4 linked regions of the Tribolium castaneum genome follow. The main gene of each other region encodes a partner of the protein of the gene in region 4 in a complex. Links are inferred from orthologs where the notes say so. Each region holds a gene or a part of one and is shown on either strand. Other genes may lie near its edges.

Evidence for each region. Proteins that work in one complex are often made in the same cells at the same time.
Region 1: dynein regulatory complex subunit 5 (region 4) and dynein regulatory complex protein 1 homolog share a complex: the UniProt entries of both Homo sapiens proteins name them as parts of the nexin-dynein regulatory complex. The link is inferred for Tribolium castaneum from reciprocal best matches to the Homo sapiens genes DRC5 and DRC1.
Region 2: dynein regulatory complex subunit 5 (region 4) and lobo share a complex: the UniProt entries of both Homo sapiens proteins name them as parts of the nexin-dynein regulatory complex. The link is inferred for Tribolium castaneum from reciprocal best matches to the Homo sapiens genes DRC5 and DRC7.
Region 3: dynein regulatory complex subunit 5 (region 4) and Gas8 share a complex: the UniProt entries of both Homo sapiens proteins name them as parts of the nexin-dynein regulatory complex. The link is inferred for Tribolium castaneum from reciprocal best matches to the Homo sapiens genes DRC5 and DRC4.

What each region holds. Positions count from the first base shown.
Region 1 is NC_087399.1:6,863,435-6,867,406, forward strand, and holds the start of dynein regulatory complex protein 1 homolog, read right to left. Parts: upstream 2,801-3,972; 5' UTR 2,717-2,800; coding exon 2,595-2,716; intron 2,551-2,594; coding exon 2,067-2,550; intron 1,720-2,066; coding exon 742-1,719; intron 692-741; coding exon 514-691; intron 388-513; coding exon 219-387; intron 170-218; coding exon 17-169; intron 1-16. Other genes in the region: RpL11 (large ribosomal subunit protein uL5), read left to right, coding at 2,840-2,845, 3,170-3,310, 3,358-3,544, 3,595-3,833. UniProt on the Homo sapiens protein: Component of the nexin-dynein regulatory complex (N-DRC) a key regulator of ciliary/flagellar motility which maintains the alignment and integrity of the distal axoneme and regulates microtubule sliding in motile axonemes.
Region 2 is NC_087396.1:17,962,989-17,967,232, forward strand, and holds the start of lobo (dynein regulatory complex subunit 7), read left to right. Parts: upstream 1-1,444; 5' UTR 1,445-1,466; coding exon 1,467-1,853; intron 1,854-1,917; coding exon 1,918-2,043; intron 2,044-2,843; exon of another isoform or gene 2,844-4,244. Other genes in the region: Atg2 (autophagy-related protein 2 homolog B), read left to right, coding at 335-489, 538-681, 738-983. UniProt on the Homo sapiens protein: Component of the nexin-dynein regulatory complex (N-DRC) a key regulator of ciliary/flagellar motility which maintains the alignment and integrity of the distal axoneme and regulates microtubule sliding in motile axonemes.
Region 3 is NC_087400.1:9,427,199-9,431,421, reverse strand, and holds the start of Gas8 (dynein regulatory complex subunit 4), read right to left. Parts: upstream 2,801-4,223; 5' UTR 2,614-2,800; coding exon 2,611-2,613; intron 2,561-2,610; coding exon 2,331-2,560; intron 2,280-2,330; coding exon 2,018-2,279; intron 169-2,017; coding exon 50-168; intron 1-49. UniProt on the Homo sapiens protein: Component of the nexin-dynein regulatory complex (N-DRC), a key regulator of ciliary/flagellar motility which maintains the alignment and integrity of the distal axoneme and regulates microtubule sliding in motile axonemes.
Region 4 is NC_087397.1:8,815,992-8,819,990, reverse strand, and holds the start of dynein regulatory complex subunit 5, read right to left. Parts: upstream 2,801-3,999; 5' UTR 2,551-2,800; coding exon 2,269-2,550; intron 2,219-2,268; coding exon 1,879-2,218; intron 1-1,878. UniProt on the Homo sapiens protein: Component of the nexin-dynein regulatory complex (N-DRC) a key regulator of ciliary/flagellar motility which maintains the alignment and integrity of the distal axoneme and regulates microtubule sliding in motile axonemes.

The DNA.
Region 1 (3,972 bases), on a different chromosome or scaffold from region 4:
TAACTCAAATTTTTACCCGGCCTTCTTGACGTGATATTTGGCCAGAAACTCTCTCAAAGCTTTCAAAACGTAAACAGAGCTTATCACAAGTGGGTGTTGGTATTGGCATGGCACGTTTGATTTATTATCAGCTTCACCAAACGACCCTTTACTGTCCTGATCCTTGATACTGTAAAAAAACAATATTTTGTGACAAATAATTCGTTTAATTTGCTTACTCTCGCTCGCGCAATTCGGGCCCTTTGCACTCCCCTTTCAAATTATCGTCGTAAAGGGTTACTGATAAAGGGCCCACGTCTATATTGGTCCCCCCTTCACGCTCCGCCCCCACGTATTCGTTCAAAGACATGTCGGTGGCATAAGTATCACTTAATCGGCTTCTACTGTCTTAAAAAACATATTTGAATTTTTTTTTTAAATACCTTAGGTACCCAAGTACAGTCACGATCAAAAAGAATGACACCCCTAAAATGGCAGGGGTAAGGGTGTCATTCTTTTTGAACGTGACTGTACCATCATTGTCAGTGAGTTGGGAGACGTTCAGAGGATCCATTTCATGAACATTCAGCAAACTTTCTTCATCAATATTGATGGGCTTTTCTGAAGTTGTGTTACAAATGGGACAGAACATGTAAGGGAGGAAGAACTCAAGAAGTAGGTCAATATCGGAACGATCATTAATATTAAGGGCCTAAAATATTCTTTTTGCACATAAATAAACAATTAACTGTAACAAACTACCGCAAAAACGTTATCAACTTTAACCAAAGTGCGTTCCTGCTCTAAATAGGGCTCCAAAATGGCAAGTAAGTCATCCTCGATCAAAAACCCCATCTTATCGCCGACCAAATTCAAGACATGTCTCAACGTTTTTTTATAATTTTTATTATAGTCAATGTCATCGCCTTCAGGAATTTCAGGTTCCACGTTCGGGGCGCCTTCTGTTTCCATAATCACGCTTTTGCTTTTCAATTTGCGAACGCTCAAAACATTTAGGGCCGTTTTGTAACTGTCTAGTTCATTTCTCGTGGGGAGTTTATGCTCAGGAGGGCTCCAAATCAAACCTAACTGTTGCTCGTACAAAGTCTTATCAATCTCGAGGATGCGTTTGAAAAGCTGATCGGCCCGTTGCTTATTCATACCCCAGATTTTCTTAAACTTCTCGTCATTAACCTGAGCTATATGATCAGCTTTCCGCTCAATATCGAGGATATTCTGGGTCAGTTTTTTCAACTCGATCGTGAGTTTGTCAATCTGTTGATGGGTTTGAGTGTGGTAATCGTTGTTTTTCTTCCGCAAGTTGTTGATAACGTCCTGAAGCTTGTTAATTCGGCGCTTTTGTTGCGACCGAATAATCAGATTCTCGTCTTCGCGTTTTTTCAAAATCTGGTAATTGTAGTCGAGCTTTTCGCTGTTCATAACCGCATCGGTTTTGATTCTTTCCAGCTCACGCTGGAGCTCGTCGCAGTCGTTTTCTAGTTGAATTGTGGTCGCACGATACAGTTCTTGAAAGTCGCGGTTCAAATGGTCCATTTCTTTGACAAAATTCCAGTAATCTTCCGATTTGAGCTCGGAGTTTGCTTTTTCCTCCTGGTCTCGCTTCTTGTACAGTTCCTCCCATTTCTTGTTATTGGCCTCAATGAGGATTTGGCGTTCGGCAAGGATCACCTCTTCGATCATTTGTAACTCCTGGCGATACGCCTTCCTCATCACGATAATCTAAAATTTGGAAAAACTAAATTAAACGTTTGGTTGGGTATGCAACCAACAATACAACTATAGCAAATATAATTTGCAAAAATAATTATAATAACTCGTCTGTTTTATTTAAATTGTTTAGCAATTGCTATAACTTAACCCCCTTATTAACTGGAAAGTAAATACACAAAAAAATCACAGTAGATAAATGAATGAATGAACGAAATTAAGTTTACGAAAATTGCAATCTACTAAAACTAAAAAAACCTGAAAAAAATTATGAGAAGGAAAAGAAATTCTGGGAAAAAACCTTTAGAGCAAAATGTGCATGAAGTCATCTAGGATAAAAACGTTTAAGTCATAGGGACCTGATTCTCAATCCTGCGTGCAATCGAATTGACATCCTCGATCTGCTTTCTCTGATCAATCGCAAAATTGATTTCCGCCTTTCGAATCTTCTCCTTCAGCTCAGCAATGAGATTATCCTTCTGTCTGATAAGCTCATCGCACTTCTCCTTCTGACTCTGGATATCCTCACTGATATGCAAGGGGTCATTATACTTCAAAATCCCGCCCCACTTGTTTGCAATCTCCTCGAACATCCCCGCTGCCGCCTCGGCCTCATCTTCGAGCTCCTTCAACAGCTTTTCCTTCCCTATGCCTTCGCGTTCACGCCTGTCGGCCTCCCGAGCCTCCGTTGCCACCCGAACATTGGTAACATACTCATCTCCTTCGAGAACCAGCTTCTCCAAAAGCTCGATGCTCTTCTCAATCTGGATCTCGATGGGCGTCTTGGTGACCTCCGGCTCGAGCGTAACGTTGAGCTTTGCCGCCTCTTGAGCCTCCTTTGCCCTGATTTTGGCAAAATGAAAAAAAGTCAGAAAAAAGGGGCTTACTTGCGCAAAGCCTCCACCCGGCGCTGGATGCGGAGCCGGCGGGCGGCAATACGTTCGGTGGGGTTTTTGGAAAAAACCTGCGGTTCGTAATTCTCCTCATCGGTCACTTCTTCCTCTTCCATTTCTTGATATTGATCAAATAAAATAGCAAGTTGAATTTAGCGCCACGTTGTTATAGCAACGGGAGAGAATTGTGCTTCAGAAAACTGTTTTACCGACGGTCTTTTCAACTTTCTAGATTCGCAATGGCGGTATGTTTTCCTGTTTTTTCGTTCAATTTTCTATTTCTTTAATCATCGTTTTGCACAATCAGTGAAATTGATTGAAATTGAGTGATTTGCGTGTCAAATGATTGTTTTTTTGTGATTTTGGGCGTATTTTTTGTTTTTGGTGATTAGGGACATGTGTTCCAAAAATCATTTTTTGGCAGTTTTTTCGCCTAAAAACACGTAAAGAGTCGTTTAAAACCAATCATTTGCTGTTTTTTTAGTAGATTTGGGCGAAAATTCACCTTGTGGTTGTTATTTATGACAGGGCAAGTCTAACCTATAAAAAAAATGTTGTGTTTTTTCCAGCCGGTAGCGAAGGGAGCGAAGAAGGAAAAGCGGGAGGTGAAGGACAAGTCCAAAAATGTGATGAGGGACCTTCACATCCGCAAACTGTGCCTAAATATTTGCGTCGGAGAGTCTGGTGATAGGTTAACCCGCGCCGCTAAAGTGAGTGTCTTTGCATCGCCCCCCAGATTGTAATTTTCGACTTGCAGGTGTTAGAACAATTGACGGGGCAACAGCCCGTGTTTTCCAAAGCCCGCTACACCGTCCGGTCTTTCGGCATCAGACGTAACGAAAAGATCGCCGTTCACTGCACAGTCCGTGGGGCCAAGGCCGAGGAGATCCTCGAACGGGGCCTGAAAGTGCGCGAGTACGAATTGAGACGCGACAACTTTTCCGGTATTTTTTTGGCACAAATCGCGCGAAAATCGCTCTAATGAGAGAATTAGCTTCAGGTAACTTTGGCTTCGGTATCCAGGAACACATCGATTTGGGGATCAAGTATGACCCCAGTATTGGTATCTACGGTTTAGATTTTTACGTCGTTTTGGGACGGCCTGGCTTCAATGTCGCCCACAGGAGGAGGAAACAAGGGAAGGTTGGATTCCCGCACCGTTTGACGAAAGAAGACGCCATGAAGTGGTTCCAGCAGAAATATGACGGTATAATTCTGGCGAGTAAGAAGTGATTGCGTTTCGTATGGTTATGTTTTAATTTTAACATATTTGTATGAGGACGCAAATAAGTTTATTTAAGAAAATTCAATTTGAGTTTTTGTGACCTAGTCTTATCCTTCACCAAAAATCCTAAAGCCATGGTTTCATCAG
Region 2 (4,244 bases), on a different chromosome or scaffold from region 4:
ACCGAGCCCAAATTATTAATTAAAAGCTTTTATTTGACTTGCTTTGTTGTCTTTCTGTCTGTTTCTTTTTTTGCAAGTCACATTTGAGAGTTCCTGTTGTCTGAATGAATTGAAATTTTGCATACTTACGTAATTTACTAATTAATAAAATTAATTTAAAACCATATGGGCCCGAGACTGTCTAACACTTGAAGCGCCCTTGTTTTTACTCTCCCGTTTTATATTTTTTGGCGCCAGAAAATTGAGCGATTTTGTATTTATCTCGTTCCGTGTCCTTCCTAAAACCTACTTACTATTTAGTTTTAGTAGTATAGGCTAATCAAACTTGTTACAGTTCAGGGAATCAGAGATTTGTTTTGCTTGCCGTTCGAGCAATACAAGAAAGATGGTCGCTTCTTCAGAGGCCTTCATCGCGGTGCTAATAGTTTTACGACTTCGACGGCAATAGCAGCTTTAGAGCTCACAACGCGGCTTATTCAACTGATTCAAGTGAGTTAAAACCGTTTCGGTTCATTTTCTATATTGTTATTTTTTTAGATTACGGCTGAAACTGCCTTTGATATGTTGACCCCAGGGCCGAGCGTAAAAATTAATCCAAAGACAAAAGTGCGCCGTAAACGATACAGCCAACCCAAGGACATCAGAGAAGGGGTGACCAATGCGTACAAGCTAGTTAAAGAAGTAGGACAGTTGTGAATTTTTGTAAAAAAAATTCTACGTGATGGTTATTGTTTCAGGGAATTGAGGAAACTGCCGATAATATACTACAAGTGGCTTCACACGAACATGAACAAAAAGGTTACAGTGGTGCTGTCGGGGGTGTTATACGCCAAATACCCCCAACTATAATTAAACCAATTATCATAGCTTCTGAAGCTACCAACAATGTGCTGGGTGGTATGCGCTGCCAGTTGGTACCAGACGCAAGAAAGGAAGCCAATGAAAAATGGCGTAACGAAGATACCTACGATTCATACGAGTGATAACAAAAGACTGTTGTTTGTGATTTTAAATTAACAATATAGATAATTTCGTTTAAGGTTGAATTGAGTTGTTGTGAATTGAGTTGTTGTTTTTACGTAGTCTTGTTATTAATCAAATATTCAGTGTCCATATTACGCCATTTTGGATGAGTTTACCTGAGCTGATACTGAATGATAAAAACGGGACAATATATTTTCGTAAGTTGAGCAAAATTGCGCTGTTCGTTCTCACGTGATATTCTAATAATCTGTACAACCACAACAAATGATTTCGTTTGTACCGATTATTTATTTGTATGTTGTGTGTGTTTGGATGCAGAAATGGACCGCGAATTACCATTTTGTGATAGGATTATTGTAATTAAACAATTTTTCATGTATGCAATATGAATAAATTTTTATACTTCGCAAAACGCGTTTTATTGGTTATCCCTCAAAAAAGTGACACTATCGTCATAGTAACGCGTTCAATTGTTGTCAAAAATGGAGTCAGATTTGGACTTCTTTCCGGATTATTTGAACGGTTACCAGTTCGACGATGGCGAAGGCGAAGAAGTGGAAGAAGAGGAGATCAAATACCATTACATCGAGATCTTGGACGCTCCGCGAGAGCTATTACCACCGGTCGAATTAACTCTGAAAGACCTCTCGCACATAGCGAACGAGCTGGGTTTGATAAAACTTTGTTGGCCCGAAATCGAACATCCGGAATTTGAGAATCGGGTGAACTTCCCGGAAAGCTACTTAGCCAATTCCAATAAGGAGAAGTTGCTTTTGCTCTACACGGAAAATTTCAGGAGGCAATTCAGCTACAAGTATCCTCACAGGAAGCAATTATTTCTGGCCAGTAACAACGAATGCGGAATGCAGGTAAGCAGAGAGCTGCCGCGCTTCCACCGCAAAGGGATAGATGGGGTGCGGTTGAATTTTTCAGAAAATGGTGTGCAATACGATTCGGCTCACAACGCTTCCCTATCCGGAAATTGAAACCTGGCAGGACTGCGCGAAATTTGTGGGAAATGCGCTGCGGTTCGAGCCGTTCGAGATTCCCACCTTGATTGTAAGTAAAAAACATGTTTATTTACAAAATCACAAAACAAAGAAAAAACAATGATTGTATACTACTCTTAGTTTTTAACTAAAGAGTTAAAAATATTGATATGATATACAGAAAAAAAACTTATTAGTACTTTCGTAATCGCTACATAGCTACATATTCATAACATATTCTTTGTTTAATTCATTTTTTGAATTTTTTTTATAAATTAAATAATTGCTGTCATTCTCTGTACACATTCTACAAAGATCTACGCAAGTGAAACTAAAATTTAATTTTTTCACGAATTTATTTTTTAGTGAGTGAAGTTATTACGTGTTGCAAATGAGTTTTTCAAGCGATCCTAATTCGTTTACTTATACATAAGATTTTTTTAATCTTGAGTTAATTTTGTTACAATTCCCTCTACCATTCCAAGATTCAAAAAAACCACCGAGTGATTGTACCGTCTTTTTAAATCACAATGTATAAATAAGAAAAGAAAGGCTTTTTATGCAAAATGGGGCGAGAACTGAGCTGGTTACATGGTTATATGTAGTTATACTCGTAGGTTATTAGTTATAAGATATAATTCATGTTTAAAAAAAAACTTACATTTTGTAACTGACTCACAACGTCAAATAAGGAAAAAGATTTTAATGGGAACTACCATTGAGTTGGAACTACGCTTTGCTTGTGTTATGATCCAAAATGACTAAGTCATGCTGACTCATGCATCCCCAAACCTTGTTGATATCAAGACTGATAACAAAGTATATATATACAGGCAATTAGAATAAAAATATGAATCTGAATCTCAATCTCTTCATGTTCTAGTGTAGTGTTAGTTTTAATAAACATATTCAAGAAATATTGTCCATTTACTACTCATCTTCAAAGAAGGCACTCAACAAATTGGCGCAGTCAGTAGGATGCGAAGATTGTGACAAAGAAGAAAGAAAATTGGGTCGACATCAAAAATCGAACCCGTTTTCCCCCAATTGCCACAATTGAAATTAATCTTCAAGAAGTCAAAGAAAAGGGTCGAGAAATTTTCATCGAGTATCCCACAGCTTTGAACGTAAGTGGACAATCTTTTTCTAAAGCTATTTTTAAATCTAGTAGTACGTTTATCCTGTTGCATGTTTCTTCGTTCACACGCAAAAAAAATAATAATGACTACTATCGCTACCACTACACCTACAACCTCCACAACAATCATAACAACATCGCAAATTCAAAACCCTATTCCTAATCGAAATCATAACTCTAACAATAATAATGATAATAAGGAAAACTCAAACACCAATGATACGCCAATTCATAACATGTCTGATATCCGGTCAATCATTTCTAACGATTTTGACGGGGACAGAAGCAAACTTTACGATTTTCTCCAAAATTGCGGTCAAGCGTGGGCGTTATGTCGCGGAGACCAAAAAATTTTAATAATCTCGTATATGGAATCTAAACTAAAAGGTGCTGCTAGAGCACAAACCCGATTTCACAAATTTTATTCTTTTAAAGAATTTCGTGATTGCCTACTAAAATTATTTGGAGACAGACGCGATTTTTCACAAATACTAGAAGAATTAAGTTCGATTCGACAACATAGGAATGAAAGCGTTCAATCTTACTTTTCGCGAATAGAAAATTTGCAAACCTTAGCTTTTAATAAAATATCTTTTCAAGACGAAAAAGAATCATGCGGCCGAACAGCAATGATTAACGAAATCGCTCTACAAAGATTCATTTTACATGCTAACGAAGAAATATCAAATGCTTTGAGACGATCTAAACCACAAAACTTAAACGATGCGTTAGCTGAAGCCCTTGACGAGGAAAGATTTTTAAATGCTCGTAAATATAATTCATCAGATTTTTCTGTTAATAATAAATTTTGTTCCTATTGTAAAGTCAAAGGTCATTTGTCAAAAGAATGTCGAAAAAGAAATGTAGATCAAAGTCATTCACCTAATCATAGTGTATCTAAAAATCATAAAACAAAATCAAATTTTAATAGTAACTCCAATTCAAAATTTTGCCGTTACTGCAAAAAGAACGGTCACTTAATCGAAGAATGTAGGAAACGCGAATATAATAATCAGAAAAAACAAAGCCAATCCTCTTCAAATAATAATGTCGTTAATTTAAACTCACAAACGTCCACAGTGAGTGTCGCACTAGTGGACAACCATTAAATTCAAAGTTCGACACAACTCGCA
Region 3 (4,223 bases), on a different chromosome or scaffold from region 4:
CAAATATGGTAAATAATGTAAAAAACTTGCACATTTATTCCTTGATTACGTATGTTTGATGTTTAATTCTTGTTTCAGGTCAGCAAATTTTTTTTCGTATTTATTTTCCAGTTCTTTTTCTTTCAGTTCGAATTGGTTTCTGATGGTGCTTATCTCTTCACTATGTTGCTAAAAACAATTATTTTTTTATTGGTAATATTTTAAGCCTTTTTTTATATCTCAATCCTAGATTATAAACATTATTTTAAAGCACGCTTCCCATAGCAACGTGTTTTAAAAAATAAAATGTTCCAACAAAAAAAAATTGAATAACACTCATACGAAAACGCTTAAAGTTCTCGGGTGTCTAGGTATGCAACTCGCATATGCTCGTTGCATAATGACAGCCCTCTAACTTTAAGCTTGTGTTTTCGCACTCGTATTATTAATAACTATTTTTTGTTGGTAACATTTTAAGCCTTCTTTTTAATATCAGAATCATAAATCATAAACACTATTCTAAAACACGCTTCCCATAGCAACGTATTTTAAATTAAAATATTTCAACAAAAAAAAATTGAATAACACTCATACGAAAACGCTTAAACTTCTCGGGTGTCTAGGTATGAAACTCGCATACGCTCGTTGCATAAAGAGGGCTCTCAAACTTTAGGCTTGTGTTTTTGGACTCTTATCATTAATAACTATTTTTTTTTGGTACTATTTTAAGTCTTTTTTTTAATATCTGAATCCTAGATTATAAACATTATTTTAAAACACGTTTCCCATAGCAACGGGTTTTCGCTATTTTAAAACACGCTTTTTATAGCCACGTGTTTTAAATTAACATATTCTCAGGTGTCTAGGTATGTAACTTGCATACGCCCTCAAACTTTAAGCTTGTGTTTTACTCTTATTATTAATAACTATTTTTGTTAGTAACATTTTAAGCCTTCTTTTTAATATCTGAATCCTAAATTATAAACACTATTCTAAAACACGTTTCCCATAGCAACGTGTTTTCGTTATTTTAAAACACGCTTCCCATAGCAACGTATTTTAAATTAAAATATTTCAACAAAAAAAATTGAATAACACTCATACGAAAACGCTTAAACTTCTCGGGTGTCTCGCATGCGCTCGTTGCATAAAAACAGCCCTCAAACTTTAAGCTTGTGTTTTCGGACTCTTATTATTAATAACTATTTTTTTTATAACATTTTAAGCATTTTTTTAATATCTGAATCCTAGATTATGATCATTATTTTAAAACACGTTTCCCATAGCAACGTGTTTTCGTTATTTTAAAACACGCTTTTCATAGCAACGTGTTTTAAATTAAAATGTTCCAACAAAAATTTTTAAATAACACTCAAACGAAGACGCTTAAAGTTCTTGGGTGTTTAGGTATGCAACTCGCATATGCTCGTTTCATAACGACAGCCTTCGAACTTTGATCTTGTGTTTTTGCACTCGTATTATTAATAACTATTTTTTGTTGGTAACATTTTAAGCCTTCTTTTTGATATTAGAATCCTAAATCATAAACACTATTCTAAAACACGTTTCCCATAGCAACATGTTTTCGTTATTTTAAAACACGCTTCCAATAGCAACGTATTTTAAATTAAAATATTCCAACAAAAAAAAATTGAATAACACTCATACGAAAACGCTTAAACTTCTCGGGTGTCTAGGTATGAAACTCGCATACGCTCGTTGCATAAAGAGGGCTCTCAAACTTTAGGCTTGTGTTTTTGGACTCTTATCATTAATAACTATTTTTTTTTGGTACTATTTTAAGTCTTTTTTTTAATATCTGAATCCTAGATTATAAACATTATTTTAAAACACGTTTCCCATAGCAACGGGTTTTCGCTATTTTAAAACACACTTTTCATAGCAACGTGTTTTAAATTAAAATGTTCTAACAAAAAACAGGCATACGAAAACACTCGGGTATCGCATACGCTCGTTGCATAACGACAGCCGTATTATTAATAATAATAACTATTTAAATTCAAATAATCATAGGTACCAGTTTTAAAGCTTTGACTTGATCTTGATGGGCGACTTCTTGTTCCCGCATTTGCGCTTTCAAATCTCGCTTATCTCGCAACAATTCTCTTTCCTGTTCAGTGTGGTCATCTTGTGACATTTTCAGCGAAACAAGCGCTTCAGCTTTACATTCTGTTAAGTTGTTTTGGTGTTCGTATTGCAAATGTTTGACTTTTTGCTTGTAAAATTTCAGTTCTTCTTCGTTTTTCTCAGCCGCTTCCTCAATCTGTCGGTCTTTGTTTCTACAAATTTTTATTCTAGTGTTTGTTTTTACAAATTTTTAATTTTTGCACCTGAGTTTTGCTTTAGCTTCTTCAAGTTCATTTTTTGTGATTTCCCAAAACGTCCGTAATTTATCTCTTTCGAGTTGAAAGAAATTTCGTTCTTCTCTTTCTCGTTCGTTTTCCTCTTTTATTCGGTGGCAGAAGACCTCGAGCTGCTCTCGGGTCATTTGAGTTGTGTCCACTCCATCGATGATATTTCCCGAACCGCCTTTTCCTTTTCCACCTTTCTTTTTGGGAGGCTGGAAAATTTTAATTAGCGAAAATTCAAACAATTATTAAAATACTGAACCATTTTACGAAGTGAAAGTGAATGAACTAGCTAGCAGTTCTTCAAGAAACTATTTGTTTAGATGGTTACTACCCGCGTATCGATTTCTTTGGAATGGACTTATTTTAAGGGAGAATTCTGCCCAATGAGTCAATGACACTAAAAATATTCTGTCAGAAAATTTGGCATCTAAATGACTATTTAGAAAATGTGTCGGAGTGACAAAAAAACTTGTGAAGAATTAATCTTTTATTTGTTATTTCTTATTAAACCAGTAATTATTAAAATCGGATGCACAAAACTTTATTTTTATAACCTAGTATACTACAGTGTGAATTATGGAGGACTATTTATTAGTTTGGAGACGAAACGAGACAGAAAATCGCAGAAATTTCTGAACTTAAAAAAATAGTACAGCGGAGAAAAAATGAGGGCGCTTCAAGCGATTTTAAATTAATTTAAATCCAACCAACTCACTCATTACTTGGAAAAAATGCAGAAATGTTAAGCTCTGCACTCTTAACAAAAACTGACGACTAAAATTTTCATAACAAACATGAGAAAAAATTATTTAAGATTTAAAATTGGGAAAAAATTTCAAATGAATTAAATTTCCTGTAAAGAAGACCGCCAGACCATATTTCTAACGTCATCGGTTTATGCCTTGAAGACGCTGAACCAAGTGTAGGTATAAAGTTAATTATTACAGGGTGAGTCAATAGTGGGTTACTTCTAACATGTCCTAAAATGCAACCAAAAATACTAATTGCACGTACGACTTGGAATTTGATTTTTAAAACATTATTTAAATTAACACTGGTTTTTTATCATTTAAATAATAATAATCTATAACAAAATCTATAATGAACTGTCAAGACAAACTTGACACTATCCAGAACAATGTAATCTTGGATTAAATTAATTTTTTTAACAATTACCCATCTGGTCAGCAGGAATCGCTATTATTGGTTGCATATTTATAGAAATTTAGAAACAACCCACTTTTATCCACTATGTATACAGGATGTATCAAAAATTCGTGTGTTAATTTTAACACGTAATAAAACTCATCAAAGAGAACAACATTTCTATATAACATTTTGCAAAATTGTTATTTATAATTTTCTTCGTTTTCCTCCTTTCTTTTGTGCAAACGAGTCGGTCAGTGTTTAATAATTATTGCATTCATGGCAACCATTTGCATTGTTGTTTTAAATTGTTTAAATTGTCCGTTTCTATCACAACGAAAATAGTTCAGTTCACTTATTTTTGTACTTATAGATGAGTACACGTTTCAGTATGTTATCTTTTTTCAAATTTTGAGTAAATTTGCAAATTTTTTATTGAAAAATTACAAATAGAAAAGATGTTTTATTTGTTGAGCTCTATTACCTGTTAAAATTAAGACACGTATTTCTGATGCACCCTGTATAAACTGTAGAAGATAGAAATATGGTGTCAAGTACTTTTTTTACAAAAAATTCAGTTCCGTATTCCCAGTGTTTTGATAAATATGCGCCGGTGCGCAAAGAATTATTGCTTTGAATTATCAACTTGCGTTCCACCTTATATTTTTGAGAACGTAGTAAAAACGGTTAAAGATACCAAAAATGTGTAAGGAACAAAGTTATAGA
Region 4 (3,999 bases):
AAACTTGAAGTCTTGCTATGTAAGAAACAATGTATTAATAAAGATTGTTTATCTGCTCGTGTAATAAGTCCACTTGTGACTTAACCACTCTTGGACTTAACCTTTTTACTCGTAGATAAACAAACTTTTTATCGACTCGTATAATAAATAACTGTAAACCACAATTTATGTGAAAATTAAAAATGGTGGATGCGCCGGGCGTGACCTAATACTTACATGAAACAGAAATTATTTTTACGTTTTGATAAGCATTTTTATTTTTATTTTATTTTTAACCCAGTGTTCAAGTATGATTATAACTTTAAAACTCTAGAATTTTTACGTTTAATTCAAGTTTAACCTCTGTGGCGTGGAATTTTCAACAAACATAAAACACAATAACTTTTATTTTGTAAACTTGAAGTCATGCTACGGAAAAACAATGTACTAATAAAGATTGTTTATTTGCTCGTGTGATAAGTCCACTCGTGACTTAACTACTCTTGGACTTAACTTATTTACTCGTAGATAAACAAACTTTTTATCGACTCGTATAATAAACAACAATAAACCAATTTATGTGAAAATTTAAAAATGGTGGATGCGCTGGACGAGTTCTAATAATATTTTCGCTAACAGAAATTAATTCTACATTTTGCCAAGCATTTTTATTTTTATTTTATTTTATTTTTAACCAAGTGTTCAAATATGATTATAACTTTAACAATAAAAAATGTTTACGTTTATTCTAAGTTTAACTTCTATGGAGGTGAGATTTTCAACAAACCTAAAACACAATAACTTTTACTTCGTAAACTTAAAGTCATGCTATGGAAAAAAAATATATTAATAAAGATTGTTCATTTGATCGTGTAATAATTCTACTCGTGACTTAATCACTCTTGAACTTAATCTTTTTACTCGTATATAAAAAAACAACTTTTAATTAACTCGTCTAATAAATAACGATAAACCAATTTACGTAAAAACTAAAAAATGGTGGATGCGCCGGGCGAGTCAAAATAATATTTTTGTTAACAGAAATTAATTCTACGTTCTGCCAAGCATTTTTATTTTTATTTTATTATATTTTTAACCAAGTGTTTAAATATGATTATAACTTTAACATAACTATAACAATAAAGAATTTTTACGTTTAATCTGAGTTTAACTAATATGGAGGTGAGATTTCCAACAAACCTAAAACACAATAACTTTTACTTCGTAAACTTGAAGTCATGCTATGGAAATAATCATGTATTAATAAAGATTGTTCATTTGCTCGTGTAATAAGTCCACTCGTGACTTAATCACTCTTGGACTTAACCTTTTTACTCGTGGATAAACAAACTTTATGTGGACTCGTATAATAAATACTTGTAACTCACGATTCATGGAAAAATTAAAAAAATTGTGGATGCGCCGGGCGAGTCCTAATAATATTTTCGTTAACAGAAATTAATTCCTCTTTTTGATAAGCATTTTTTTAATTTATTTTATTTTTAACCGAGTGTTTAAATATGACTATAACTTTAACAATGAACAATTTTTATATTAAATCTGAGTTTAACCTCTGTAGGGGTGGAATTTCCAACAAACTTAAAACACGCTTTTTTGTTTTTAGTTAACAGTTCAAATACCAATTTTCATGTTTATAACTTCAATAATGACGGAGTTTTATATTTAACTCTCTTTACCCGATATTTCAGTTGACAGTTAAACCAAAAATATTTTGTTTTTTTTCAATTTATTCCATGGTTTGGCGTATTTCAATGCCTTTAACCAAAGTTAAAAACAATTTACCGAAGTAAAAGTGTCGGGTAATCAACTTTTTTTTCCTACGTACAGTATAATATAAAATAACGAAGGGTCAAAAATTGACTCCTAGGAATTTAGTACCGTAAACCACATCAAACTCTTCAATATGGATCAGCCTTTTAAAAATTGGCTCAAAACTGATATGATCAGTGGGATGGAACTCTGGAATGTCTTCTTCATCCCAGTGTAACGGCGGCTTCCATGCTTGCAGCTGGGTCACAATCAACGTCCGAACGTAGTTAGAAGACAAAGTCAAAATTTCGTCCATTTCATCTTCGTCATTATGTTCGGGTTGCGCTTGCTCGACCATCTCTTGCACATGCCTCTCAATAAATAAACTCTTCCAATTCCACGTTTCCCGTTTTCTGTAAATAATCGTTCCGTATTTATCCTGGTAGCGTCGTTGCCAATAAATTTCGTCCTAAACTGTGATTTTGACAGGACCACACTATTACTTAATTTGATTAATACCTCAATGAGGGGCACCACAAGCTGCAAAGGTAACGCAAGATCTAAAATTTCGAGGAGGTAATCGCGGTCTTGACATGGTAGTTCGTCTAATAAAGAACTGTCGGCAAATTTTGACTTTATCACTTCTACACATAGCGTTGCCAATGAGGGGCAGTGGTTCTTGTCCCATTGGAAGTTTTCAGAAAGGATTTGTCGGTCGGGTTCTCCGACTAGGATCAAACTTTCAGGGGACGCCTCGTAAGTGAGGTTTGTGTTTTCGTTGATTTTGTAAGGGACGCGCATTGTTGGGAAATTCAAAACCGCATAATGTAAATTTTACAGACGTTTCTAGTCATGTTGACACGTTATTAAGTGACAGGGGCATAAAATGTGAAATTTTATTCGGGAAATTGATTAAATTGTAAATTAGAACGGACTCAAATCGTGACTTTTTGACACTCTACGGTCGAAACTTTCTTTCTTGAAATTTTTGTTTCCAAATGTTGTCTTTATACACTGAGGTTTTTATTTTACTGAACAAACCATAACACTATTACTCCTATCTTGTCAATACATTGCTATATTTCTTAGATCTTCTGTGTTATACAGCGTGTTAGGGAATGGTTTAGTAAAAATTTAAATGTAGATAGAGAATGGCTAGACAAACCGATTAAATAAAATTTATGTAAATCGAAAATGCAGTTTTCCGAAAAAATCGTTCTAAAATTAAAGTCCCAAATTTTGAGAACCGCTGAACTAGAATTATAACAATTAGCGTAAATGTTAATATTATTGACAAAACAGCAGAGATAAATTAACTACGACGTTATATCTTTATTTCGATGTGTTTTGTTATTAAACTTTTCGAAAAAAAAACATTTTTTTTGCCTGGACCGGGATACAAACCCCCCACACAAATAAACATGTGGGCCACAATTTTGAAATGTATTCTGAACGCCCATGCGCCGCCATCTCGATTTTGTTTAATGAAAAAATTGCTAATAAACTTTCACAAGCCACACAGTGGCTCTCAACAGGTGGGTTAATAAAAATTTCTGAAGAAAGTACGCACTTTTTGAAAGAATGATATAAGGTATTTTAACTCGTCTGATCATGACAAATTCGCATTCGAAATATTGTTAAGCCATTTTTACCGCTTAACACTATTTTAAGATAGCAACGTGTTTTCACTATTCTAAAACACGCTTGCCTTAGCATCGTGTTTCAAATTAATGTTTTTTCTATTTGAAAACACCTTTTCCAGGACAACGTGTTTTAAATTAAAATGTTCCAACAAAAAAATTTTTGAATTCACAGTTATGCGAAAACGCATTAAAAAGTTCTCAGGTATACACTCGCATACGCTCGTTGCATAATGACAGCCCTCGAACTTTAAGCTTATCTTTTCGCACTCGTATTATTCGAGTTATTTATTATCTGTGCATAGACCATTGCATTCAACCATTTTCTTGAAATTCTTGAATTTATCAAAAACTTTAGACTTCTTTAAAAAATATACTAATGTTTTTCTTGTATTGTTGTAAGAAAAAGTTAATAAATAAAAAAATAAATAAAAAAAAAACAATTTTCACAAATATTGCTTTCGCTTTTGATATCTTTAAATTCGTGTAATTTTTTTGGAAACTGTTATAAATTCCTCGTTTGGCGTTGGTTGAAACAGCTGTAAAAGGGCTCAAACAGCTGTGACACTCGTGGCCAAAAACCGTGAACAAACGAAACAGAGGGTCACGA